3 linked regions of the Tribolium castaneum genome follow. The protein of the gene in region 2 interacts with the protein of the main gene of each other region in a pairwise test. Links are inferred from orthologs where the notes say so. Each region holds a gene or a part of one and is shown on either strand. Other genes may lie near its edges. The genes, in order: eEF2, Uev1A and awd.

Region 1 (4,196 bases), on a different chromosome or scaffold from region 2:
GTTGGCCGTTCTTTTGTCGTCAAAGTGATCAGAACAGGTCTGTGAGAACAATCATCATTGAAGGAACCTTGCTTTGATATTTGTAACTATTAAAAAATAAAACATACCTTCGACCAATTTGGGCAAATCAGCTGGATTTTTGGGTTCGACAGCGACACGTACGACCGGCGATACGCTGAACTTCATAACTCTCAAGTTGTGGGCATCCTTGAAGGTCGTGATGGTGCCAGTTTTGACCAAGAATTGATCAACACCGACCAAACCGCAGATGTTTCCTGATGGCACGTCTTCAATGGCCTCGACGTTACGTCCCATCATGAGAATAGTACGCTGAATGGCTTTCTCGTATAAATCTTCCTTCTTGCCGGGAGTGTAGTTGGGTCCCATGATACGTGCCTTCATTCCTGTGGCGACTTTACCGGAGAAGACGCGACCGAAAGCATAGAAACGTCCCTTATCAGAGGTGGGTACCATTTTCGAGACGTACATCATAAGAGGAGCATTGGGATCGCAATTCTTGATACCGATGGCGGCTTCATCGTCATGGGGACCTTCATACAACATTTCCATTCTGTACTTCTGGGCAGTTACGGGTGATGGGAGATGGATGGCAATCATCTGGAGGAGAGCCTCGCCAGCGGGCAACCAGGTGCGCATCACAACCTTGAGGAGAGGCTTGCCGTCTTTGTCCTTGTCTTCGTGTTTCAACTGGATACCAAGTTTGGGGAACAGAGCTTCGTATTCTTCTTTCCTGTAACATGAATAAACAACATTGGCCACAATTCAAAATTACACAAAACTTTTTAAAGATTAATTAAGGTCAGTTGGCCGTTCTTTTGTCGTCAACCAGATCAGAACAGGTCTGTGAGAACAATCATCCTTCATGTCCAGTAAATTAAATCAATTAATAAGATTATTCACCTGTAGTTCATGATGCTGTCAAAGATTTTGTAGATGGGGTCCAAGATGTACATACAGAAGGAGCGTTTGTTGTCGGCTTCCTTCTGTTTGGCCCACTTCTTGGTTTTGGGGTTGAAGAAGTTCTCACCCCACAATCTGTTCATTAGTTTCACAACGTCAATCTTGAATTTTTCAGAGTACATTTCAGCGAACTGTTTGAGGGTAAAAGCCCATCCGTGGAGACCTGAACCGAAACCAACGGAACCTTTGCTAGGATCGACCTATAAAAAAGAAATTTCATAAAAAAAATGACACAAAAAATTAATTTCAATGTTCCACATCAGGAAACTGCTTTAAATATTTTTAATCTAAAGCAGGGCAAATAGTGGACCTTATCTGCGAGTTTCTTCATGGTTCTAGTCAATTAAAAATTAATTAGACCTCCCGAATTAACTCGCGATATGCGTTTAATTCAGAAAAACAACCATTGCATAATTTCATTTTTTTTTTCAACTAACTTCTAATCGTTAAATTACTAAAAACTTACATGAATGTTACCCATTGGGCCATTATCATCAGCGTAAGTGGCGATAATGACGTTCACGTTTTCAACAATACGCTGGAAAGTTTGGTAGAGTTCCTCTGAGTCCAACTGCAGCTCCAACAAAGCTCTGTCCATCTTGTTCATGAATAAAATAGGCTTGATACGTTCGGCAATAGCCTGCCTAAGTACGGTTTCGGTTTGTACACATACACCTAAAACGCCACGTTTCCCAATTAAAAACCGAGAATTTCCAATTTCTCATAAATAAAATGTACAACTCATGCCGTAGCGTGCCACAACCGGACATAAAGATAGAGGTCCTGTGGCAGCGTTTAAACACATGTTGAAATTAATCTCCTTCCATTGCACTGCCAACATCGTCGTTGAGCGTTGGTTGCAAGCAGCCAATGCTCTATGAAGTGGCTCTTGTTGTGCTGGAAGCGACACTTCTTACAAAAACTTACCAGAAACGCAATCAACGACGACAAGGGCGCCATCAGTGACGCGAAGAGCGGCTGTGACTTCTGATGAGAAGTCGACGTGTCCGGGAGAGTCAATCAGATTGATCAAGAAACCTTTTTCTTCCTTCTCACGCTGTTCAGGGTTGGTAATAAAGACGAGATCCCTGTCTTCAAGTTCGAAGTACATGGAGATGGCACTAAAATAAGGAATCAGCCATCTGGCAACGAGGGTTGGGGCACTTACGTAGACTTGATGGTGATGCACCTATCTTGTTCATCCTTTCTCGTGTCAGTAAACCTCGTTTCTCCCGCCTTGGCCCCGGCAATGATACCAGCTTTGGACACAAGGGAGTCGGTCAGAGTTGATTTGCCGTGGTCCACGTGAGCAATGACGGACATGTTACGGATATTCCGCTTCTTGTCCATCACAGCACGGATCTCGTCAACAGTGAAGTTCACCTAAGGGGGCCACATAACATTAACAGATGTCCGGTTAAGATCCAACATGTGTTGACACTTGACGTCCCCTTTTCTCCACATTTCCACCGTTAAATGATCAAATAATCCCAGCTTTGGTTCGTTTTTATTAATTACAAGCGGGCAACGAAGCCGAAAAACACTTATTAGTAAACATAAATACCGGATAGAGTGTACTTTCATCTTATTGTGCAATCTGAACAAATCCGTTAAAAATCACTAAAATAACGCTAAGCCACCGAAATAAATAATCCACGGCGTGGAGAGAGGCTGGGGCAATCGTTTAACGTTAATAAAATCCACAAAAAGGGCTTACCATGTTGGATGTTTCTTGATTTTGTTAACACACACAAAAATACGATACGCCAGTAATGGCGCACTCCCGTGAAAGGACGATTGACGTGAAGTGGGCTAAGAACTGCCACGCAGCTGCATCTTCACGGTATTGCCAACGTGGAAAAAGTCACTAGTTTTTGTCGCCTTGGTGAAAAGTAAAAAGCGGGTTGATAAAAAAACGGTTTTATTTCTTTATACAGTTATGTTTCCCGTTTTCTGCCTTTAACTTGAATGCGGAGCCCGGCACAGGCGTTTCGGTGAGTTTCTATCCGATCAGGGAAAAATTTGCGGCCACATTTTCCACATTCGACCAGTTCAGCCAAGTGGTTGTCCCATATCCTGTGGAAGGTGCCCGCGAAATCCACATCACCAGTGGCTGGAAGAGAAAAAGCTTTCATTTGGAGATATGCCATAAGAAATATTGTTTCCAATTTTTTAATAGACTTTAAGCATTCTCTGCTTTACGCACTGAAAACTTGAAAAACCAGAAAGCCCTGTTTTTGGAAACATATTTAACGGAGGGATTAAATTTAAACCTCAGTTAAAACATAGCAACGCCAATCAGATACGCAGTACCTTAGCAACTAACAGAGAGATAAAATTTAACTAATTAACTAATTTAAGTTTAATCGTACCGGAAACCGGGCCTTAATCGTTTGGCAACGCGTTTTCATAATTTCTCTATGTTATTATTTAACAATTAGTGTGAAATATAAAAAGCAGTTTTTGTAACAAAACAGATTTATTTACATTCTTATCATTTAGGTAACAAACTGGCTTTTTGTGGCTTCTCCTTCGCCTCCTCTTGTTGATCTTTCTGATGCTCTCGGTATAACCAACTGTAACAAATTCGTATCAACCTTAAGCTTTCCCCATTTTCGTGAAACTTTACTAGAATATTACGATCGCAGGCGCAGTTAAAGCCCCTCCAAGTAGAAAGAAGGAGCCTGGTAGGACCTTAATTGTGGTTTCATAGACTATATTATACATGGGCCCATAAACAAGGGGCATTAAAGCTTCAGAAACTCCAAACAAAGAGTTAATTTTGCCCAATTCTTCCGGAGGTACTAACTTTGATATAATTGATCTCATGGCGATGAAAGAAGTACCGTTTAAAGCCTCGATTATCGCTCCTGCAATAATCGTTTGGTTGTGGGAGAGGGTCATTTGAGAACTTACCAAGATAAAAAATTGTACTTGTGGGTGCGAAAGCGTATACGAGGGAAGCGGCGATTTTACTCGTGCTTGAAATCATTCCAAGGACGGCATCATCGACTTTGAGGAATTTGCTGAAGAACATTAAAGAGAAAACAGTTCCACAGACGTGGATGACAAATTGGAAGGTTGAGTACAAGCTGTAGTCAATTTCGTTCCATTTGAACCTATGTCGGACAAACAGATACATGACTTGCATTTCGCCATGCATGGGTCCGATTATGACCATAACAAGGATCATGATGGTGCAAATGCGGCGCTTC
Region 2 (3,186 bases):
ATATCTAAACGATAAACGTAATTTTGGGAGTGTTACAACAATTTTTTACGTTCGTTTTAGGACGACACTACAATTCATAAACTTTTATTAATATTTTTAATTAATTAATAATTTAAACAATAAATTATATTACCGTAAAAATTCCCAATCAATTTTATATCGTAAAAACGTTTCAAATGTGGTAAAATCAAGCGCTGATAACTGATTAAAATACTCCACCATAAATAGTTTTCAAGAATTAATTGAAAATTTGCACTTTAAAAGCTCTAGAGGGTTCGGTTTTATAAAAAACTATTTCAACCGGAGACTTCGCCTATTCAAATCGTTCTGACCCAATTTTCAAGTTATTTTTTTAGTGCAAAATAAAAAAATGTCTGTTACCGGAACCTCTCCGGGTTTTGATGATTAAATAAGTGCTCTGAAGCGAATTCTGATGTTTTTTTATTTTTGCAGTAAATTTTAACGAGAAAAACGCATTTAAAGTGACAAATTTTCACTTTTCATTCAGTTTTTTTTTAATTGGAATAAAAAGAAGCGTCTAAAATTAGTTTGTTTTATTATGACGTTGATGAGTTAACATGAAATGTAGACAAGTGCGCGATGTGTTGAAGTTGTTTGAGCCAGTCAAACCCACAACAATGAGTAGACATGTAAAATAAAAAATCTGAGTTACAAATTTATTTGATTATAATCACAAATTAATTACGATTAGAATAACAATTAAAACCTGCACAAATAACGGCAACACATCCTATTATAAAACTTTATTATGAACAGAGTAATTACATCAGCAGTACAGTTCTATAAATGCTGGACAGTATGAACTTATGGCGAATCTAACTTTTATGACCTAAAATTAATTTAGCGGTGTAGCCATGAAGCTGTACACATAACTTAGCCCCTCTGCATCTTGTCCCTTTCATGTCATTTGGGTAACTAACTTAATGATTGATACTTATTCACAAAAGACAACAAGACTGAGTTGTGCAGGTATCAACACTCAGAGGGCAGTTGGCTGCAGAGGGCAACGGGGACGTGTTGGGAGGGCGCAAGGGCTAGAAACAACTGCCCTCTGGAGGCTGTGTAAGTTTCATGTTTTCTTTGAGTGTCATTAACCGACGCAATTCTTGTAAAACTGTCTTAATCGTGTAGTCCCGCTGCCACCGCGCTAGGACTGGAACTTGCCTATTGTCCACCTAGGCGACAAAATTAGCCCCAACTTACGCACCCACCCGGCTCCACTTACCACCCCCGTGCTGCTATTAATACAATTCATGTTGATCCTAGAAATGAACTTTGCCGAAGGCGCATCATCGGGGTACCTCTGCCCGCACTCAATCTTCACTGAATACATCCTATTCTCATACGGGGTCCTAGGGGGGCCAATGATCATCCCCATCCAGTGAGTCAGAGTCATGTCATCGTCGTTTTCCAAGCCCCAGCTGATGGTGCCGTCCGATACGCCCTTCTGGCCCGCTTCTAGCTCCTCCAGAAGCCGGAAATTTCGGGGCACCACTGCCAAAAACACGCAAAATTTACCCAATTTGATGATAAAACACACGGATTAATTATTAACTTACCCACACCGGTTGATGGGGCCGCCATGATTTTTATGCACCGCGATGAAATATCACTGAAGGTGTAATCGCCCGATTTACGGATTTAAGCACTTGGGAAAATCCGTGTCGATGAACCTATAATGGAATATTATGTAAATTCGCGACCATCTATAAATAAAACGGATTTTTTTAGCGTTTCCCTAAAACAGCACCTTTCAATTTTTCTACACCCTGTCAATTCTGGGGAATTTCTAGTTTACAGTGCTTCCACCAGAAGCCGCAATGTTGGCTATAATGTGGCCACCACGAAATCCAAAATTTTCCGCACTGTTAAGTAAATTATTTAATTATTGAAATAAAGTAAATTCGGTTCTAAAATTTAGCTTGAATTAAATAAGAGTGGGCAAAGTTCAATTCCAAATCAGTATCATGCAATGTCGTCAACCTCTGGTGAATTTTTGGCAATTTTTTTAATTTTTGAACCCGTTTGGAATTGTTCGAAAGCCTGGTGATTGTGTAAAGAATTTTGAAAAAATATTATCGCACAAGAATTAACAAACTTTGTTTTTATGTCTTATTTTGTAGGGTTCTTAAGAGAAAATGGGCACAAAGCACTTGCATTTTTGGAGTGAAATAAAGCACAAATTAAGAGTTTCTGTATAAAAAAAACAAAAGTATGTGTTAAACTGAGTCCTAACGACAAATTTAGGGCCAAAAAACCAACAATAATGTTGAAAAATATTGTTATTAAAACTATAGTTTCAAAATTATAAAACGCCAACATTTTATCGAATTATTTTGTTAAATAAGATTGATAAAATTGTAAAATAGGTATTAATGATTAGATATTATCTCTTTCAAAACTATAAAAAATGCTAACGTTGCATTTTCTCTCAAAATTAGGTGTTAAAAATTATTCATGCACTTCTAGCTAATGTAATTTATAGTTTCTATAATTATATTTATAATTTATTTATTTATAAATATTATTTATTTATATTTATAATTTATGCAATACATAGCTAATGCAATTTATAGTTTCAATGAGAGATCATTAATAACTATTTTACATTTTTATCATTCTTATTAAAAAAAATAATTTAATAAAATACGACGTTTGAGTCTTTATAGTTTATAGGTATTGCTAAAGGTTAAAAACAAAGCATAAAATAAAAGTTTAGTGCAGAAACAATACAAAAAATATTCATGATAAAATCTTGAAAGAGAGCAGAGTAAGATCTAAAAGAAAATATGAAAAGATTAAAATAAATGTAGATGAAATGTTTTTAAAATAATTTATAAAAAAATCTGAAGATGAATTTATACCATACCTAATCTAGGAACAGTGTTAATAAAGAATTTAACAAGGATATTAAAAAAATCAACAGAAGAATTTATTTAATAAAGTTTTGGATCTACATACGATTTTAGAAAAAAAAAAGAAAAGAGTACAGAAACAAAATAATGTTAAAGAGTAATCTGTAATAATTCTAAACAAAATTGTACTCGTAGAAGAATATTTTAAAAACGCACAGTGGAATCCAAAAGAGAATTTTGCAAATATGTAGAAGTGTTTATAAGAAAATGAGCCTAGAAAATAATTATATAGAAAATCTAGACATGTTAA
Region 3 (2,523 bases), about 3.7 Mb from region 2:
TAGATTATCTTATGTGTAAATAAATAAATCATCAAAGTTACAATAACCAAAAATTTAGGTTTCAAATTTGTTCATGTGACGCAAAATTGTCCAAAAATTCTAAATCTGTCTTAATTTTTGTCCTACACTTGTAGTTTTTGGTACTATTAGACGAAATACTGTCGATTTTAATTTTTGCATAAGCGCCCTGAAACTATGAAAAAAGCGTATTTTTTGGAAACAAAATTATTCTTTAATTCTTATTATTTCACTTAGTTTTTCGTTAATAATAAAAGTATTAAACATAAAAAAGAATTTTTTATGTAATAGTGTAGGCAACCAGCAATTTGACTCTGCGCGAGTGCCAAACTAACATGCTACTTGTTCAATGGACTACTTTACTTTTATTGAATTTTTATCGATTAATAATGAAATTATTGATTTACATAAATGAACAACAGCTTAATTGACTCAAAAAATTACAGTGCAACTGCAATAATTTTTGTTAACCCATCTGTCGTAAAATTTTCCTAGAAAACAAGTTTGAACCGGAATCAAGTAGCCTAATGTCACCACAAGACAACCAAAAAAAACAAACCATAATTTTCCAAATTTTTTATTCATTTAAATAAAGTGTAACAAGTTCAATCCTCATACACCCACCCCTCATTCGCCGGCTTCCAATTGATCACCTCCTTCTCCGTGAACCACAACCCGATCTCCTTCTTCGCCGATTCCACCGAATCCGACCCGTGGATAATATTCCGCCCAACCTGGATACAAAGGTCACCTCTGATGGTACCTGGGGCACTGTCGGCAGGGTTTGTAGCACCAAGCATCACACGCCCGGTCTTCACCACGTTCAGGCCCTCCCACACCATGGGCACCACCGGCCCGCTGCTCATGTACTTGACCAGGCCGGGGAAGAAGGGCTTCGTGGCCAAATCGGCGTAGTGTTTCTTGAGGAGCTCCTCCGAAGGCTGTGAGGGTTATTGACTTGACACGTGTGCAAAAATACTCACCCAGGTGAACTTGAGGGCCACTAGCTTGAAGCCCTTCGACTCAAACCGCTTGATTATCTTCCCTACAAGGCCTCTTTGGACGCCGTCAGGCTTGACCATAATGAAGGTTCTTTCACGTGCTTCCGCCATGGCTCTTGAAAATAACGAAAAGATTGACAAGATCGTACAGATCATACAACTGGAAGGCGATTCGTCGAAAACCACGCGCGAGAATTTAATTCGGGGGCTATTTTCGGAGGATTGAACGATTGAGACACCGGTTCGACTGTAACCAAATGAGAGCAAGGAGGAGGGAAGAGGAAGAGACAAAGTTAGAAGACGGGCATTTCCTGCGAAGAGCCACATGTCCCTAGAAGTCAGCGCCTAATTCAAAATAATACGATTGAGTGTGTTATCGATCTTTGTACTTGACCTCTTAATTAAGCTTAATTATGCGATAAATTTAGATTCAAGGACAAGGCTGGTGTTTATTTTCAGCATTTGAGTAAATTATAGGGATTGAGTCACAACTTTCCCAAATTTGAGTGATTTACTGGGAATTATTTAAATTGTAAATTAAACTTGTTGACACAATTTGGCCAAAGACAAGTTTTTTTTTTTGTTTTTTGAATGTTTCAGAAATAAGCTACAATACAGGATGTTTCAAGTTTTAATGCCAGTTTAAAAAAAGCCTGTCCAAAAAAATTATATCGCAAACGATATTTTTGACGAGTTTTTAACACACCTCAATTTAATGCTTTAACGTTATCCCAAATTTTTATGATATGAGAGTAAAATGCAAAAAACTACATTAACAATTTTTAAAGTTTCCAAAGTTCCAGCTTTTACTTGAAAAATAGTTAATTCATTTATTAATTTAATTCGCAATTAGATGATCACGTGACCAAATTAACTGAACTAATTTGGTTGGTCCATTTGCGTTGTTAACTTTTAACAACGAATTAAATTATAACAGAGCTTTCTAACGTGAGATCGAAAATAAACTGAATTAGAGCAGGCCGTGCAGAATTTTAGCCACATGTCAAAAACTGACAGATCAGGATTTTTCAAAAACTAATTCCTTGCTTCTGACATAGGGTTTACCATCCAATTAAAAGCTTACAATGTAAAAGGCTATTTTAACAAATGAAAAAAAAATTGGATGAAATCTCTTTAAGAATTTTTTAAACAGTTATTTGCTAACATAGGAACAGTATTTCTGGACATTTCTTGGGTCTCCTCCACTGTCTTTTATAACACAATTTTTTAATAAAAAATGTGACTAAAATTACACTTCTTTTTCAAAGCTTGCTATAATTCAGTACATTTTCGATCTCATGGTAGAAACCGGCCCTAAGTTTATTAAATTAATTTAATATTTATGACCGATTTATAGAAAGCTCAAATAATGTTAACTGCGCTGTCAAAAGTTTATGGTCCAATAAAATTTGTTTAATTTGATCATTAATTTAAGCCGCAATTAAATGCGTGATTAATTGATTACATGACCAAAATGAACCAATTTGATTGGTACATTCTCATT

Evidence for each region.
Region 1: the proteins of Uev1A (region 2) and eEF2 interact in a two-hybrid assay, tested with the Caenorhabditis elegans proteins (2 studies listed by BioGRID). The link is inferred for Tribolium castaneum from reciprocal best matches to the Caenorhabditis elegans genes uev-1 and eef-2.
Region 3: the proteins of Uev1A (region 2) and awd interact in a two-hybrid assay, tested with the Caenorhabditis elegans proteins (2 studies listed by BioGRID). The link is inferred for Tribolium castaneum from reciprocal best matches to the Caenorhabditis elegans genes uev-1 and ndk-1.

The regions. Positions count from the first base shown.
Region 1 is NC_087396.1:14,895,551-14,899,746, forward strand, and holds the start of eEF2 (translation elongation factor 2), read right to left. Parts: upstream 2,855-4,196; 5' UTR 2,702-2,854; coding exon 2,699-2,701; intron 2,365-2,698; coding exon 2,150-2,364; intron 2,103-2,149; coding exon 1,909-2,102; intron 1,657-1,908; coding exon 1,448-1,656; intron 1,182-1,447; coding exon 922-1,181; intron 752-921; coding exon 108-751; intron 1-107. Other genes in the region: lysosomal proton-coupled steroid conjugate and bile acid symporter SLC46A3, read right to left, coding at 3,476-3,557, 3,611-3,851, 3,898-4,196. UniProt on the Caenorhabditis elegans protein: Catalyzes the GTP-dependent ribosomal translocation step during translation elongation.
Region 2 is NC_087394.1:10,169,431-10,172,616, reverse strand, and holds Uev1A (ubiquitin-conjugating enzyme E2 variant 2), read right to left. Parts: upstream 1,876-3,186; 5' UTR 1,772-1,875; intron 1,766-1,771; exon of another isoform or gene 1,695-1,765; 5' UTR 1,606-1,694; coding exon 1,581-1,605; intron 1,516-1,580; coding exon 1,247-1,515; intron 1,197-1,246; coding exon 1,056-1,196; 3' UTR 540-1,055; downstream 1-539. UniProt on the Caenorhabditis elegans protein: Involved in protein ubiquitination, but has no ubiquitin ligase activity on its own. The uev-1-ubc-13 heterodimer catalyzes the synthesis of non-canonical poly-ubiquitin chains that are linked through Lys-63.
Region 3 is NC_087394.1:6,440,389-6,442,911, reverse strand, and holds awd (nucleoside diphosphate kinase), read right to left. Parts: upstream 1,302-2,523; 5' UTR 1,176-1,301; coding exon 1,002-1,175; intron 960-1,001; coding exon 624-959; 3' UTR 580-623; downstream 1-579.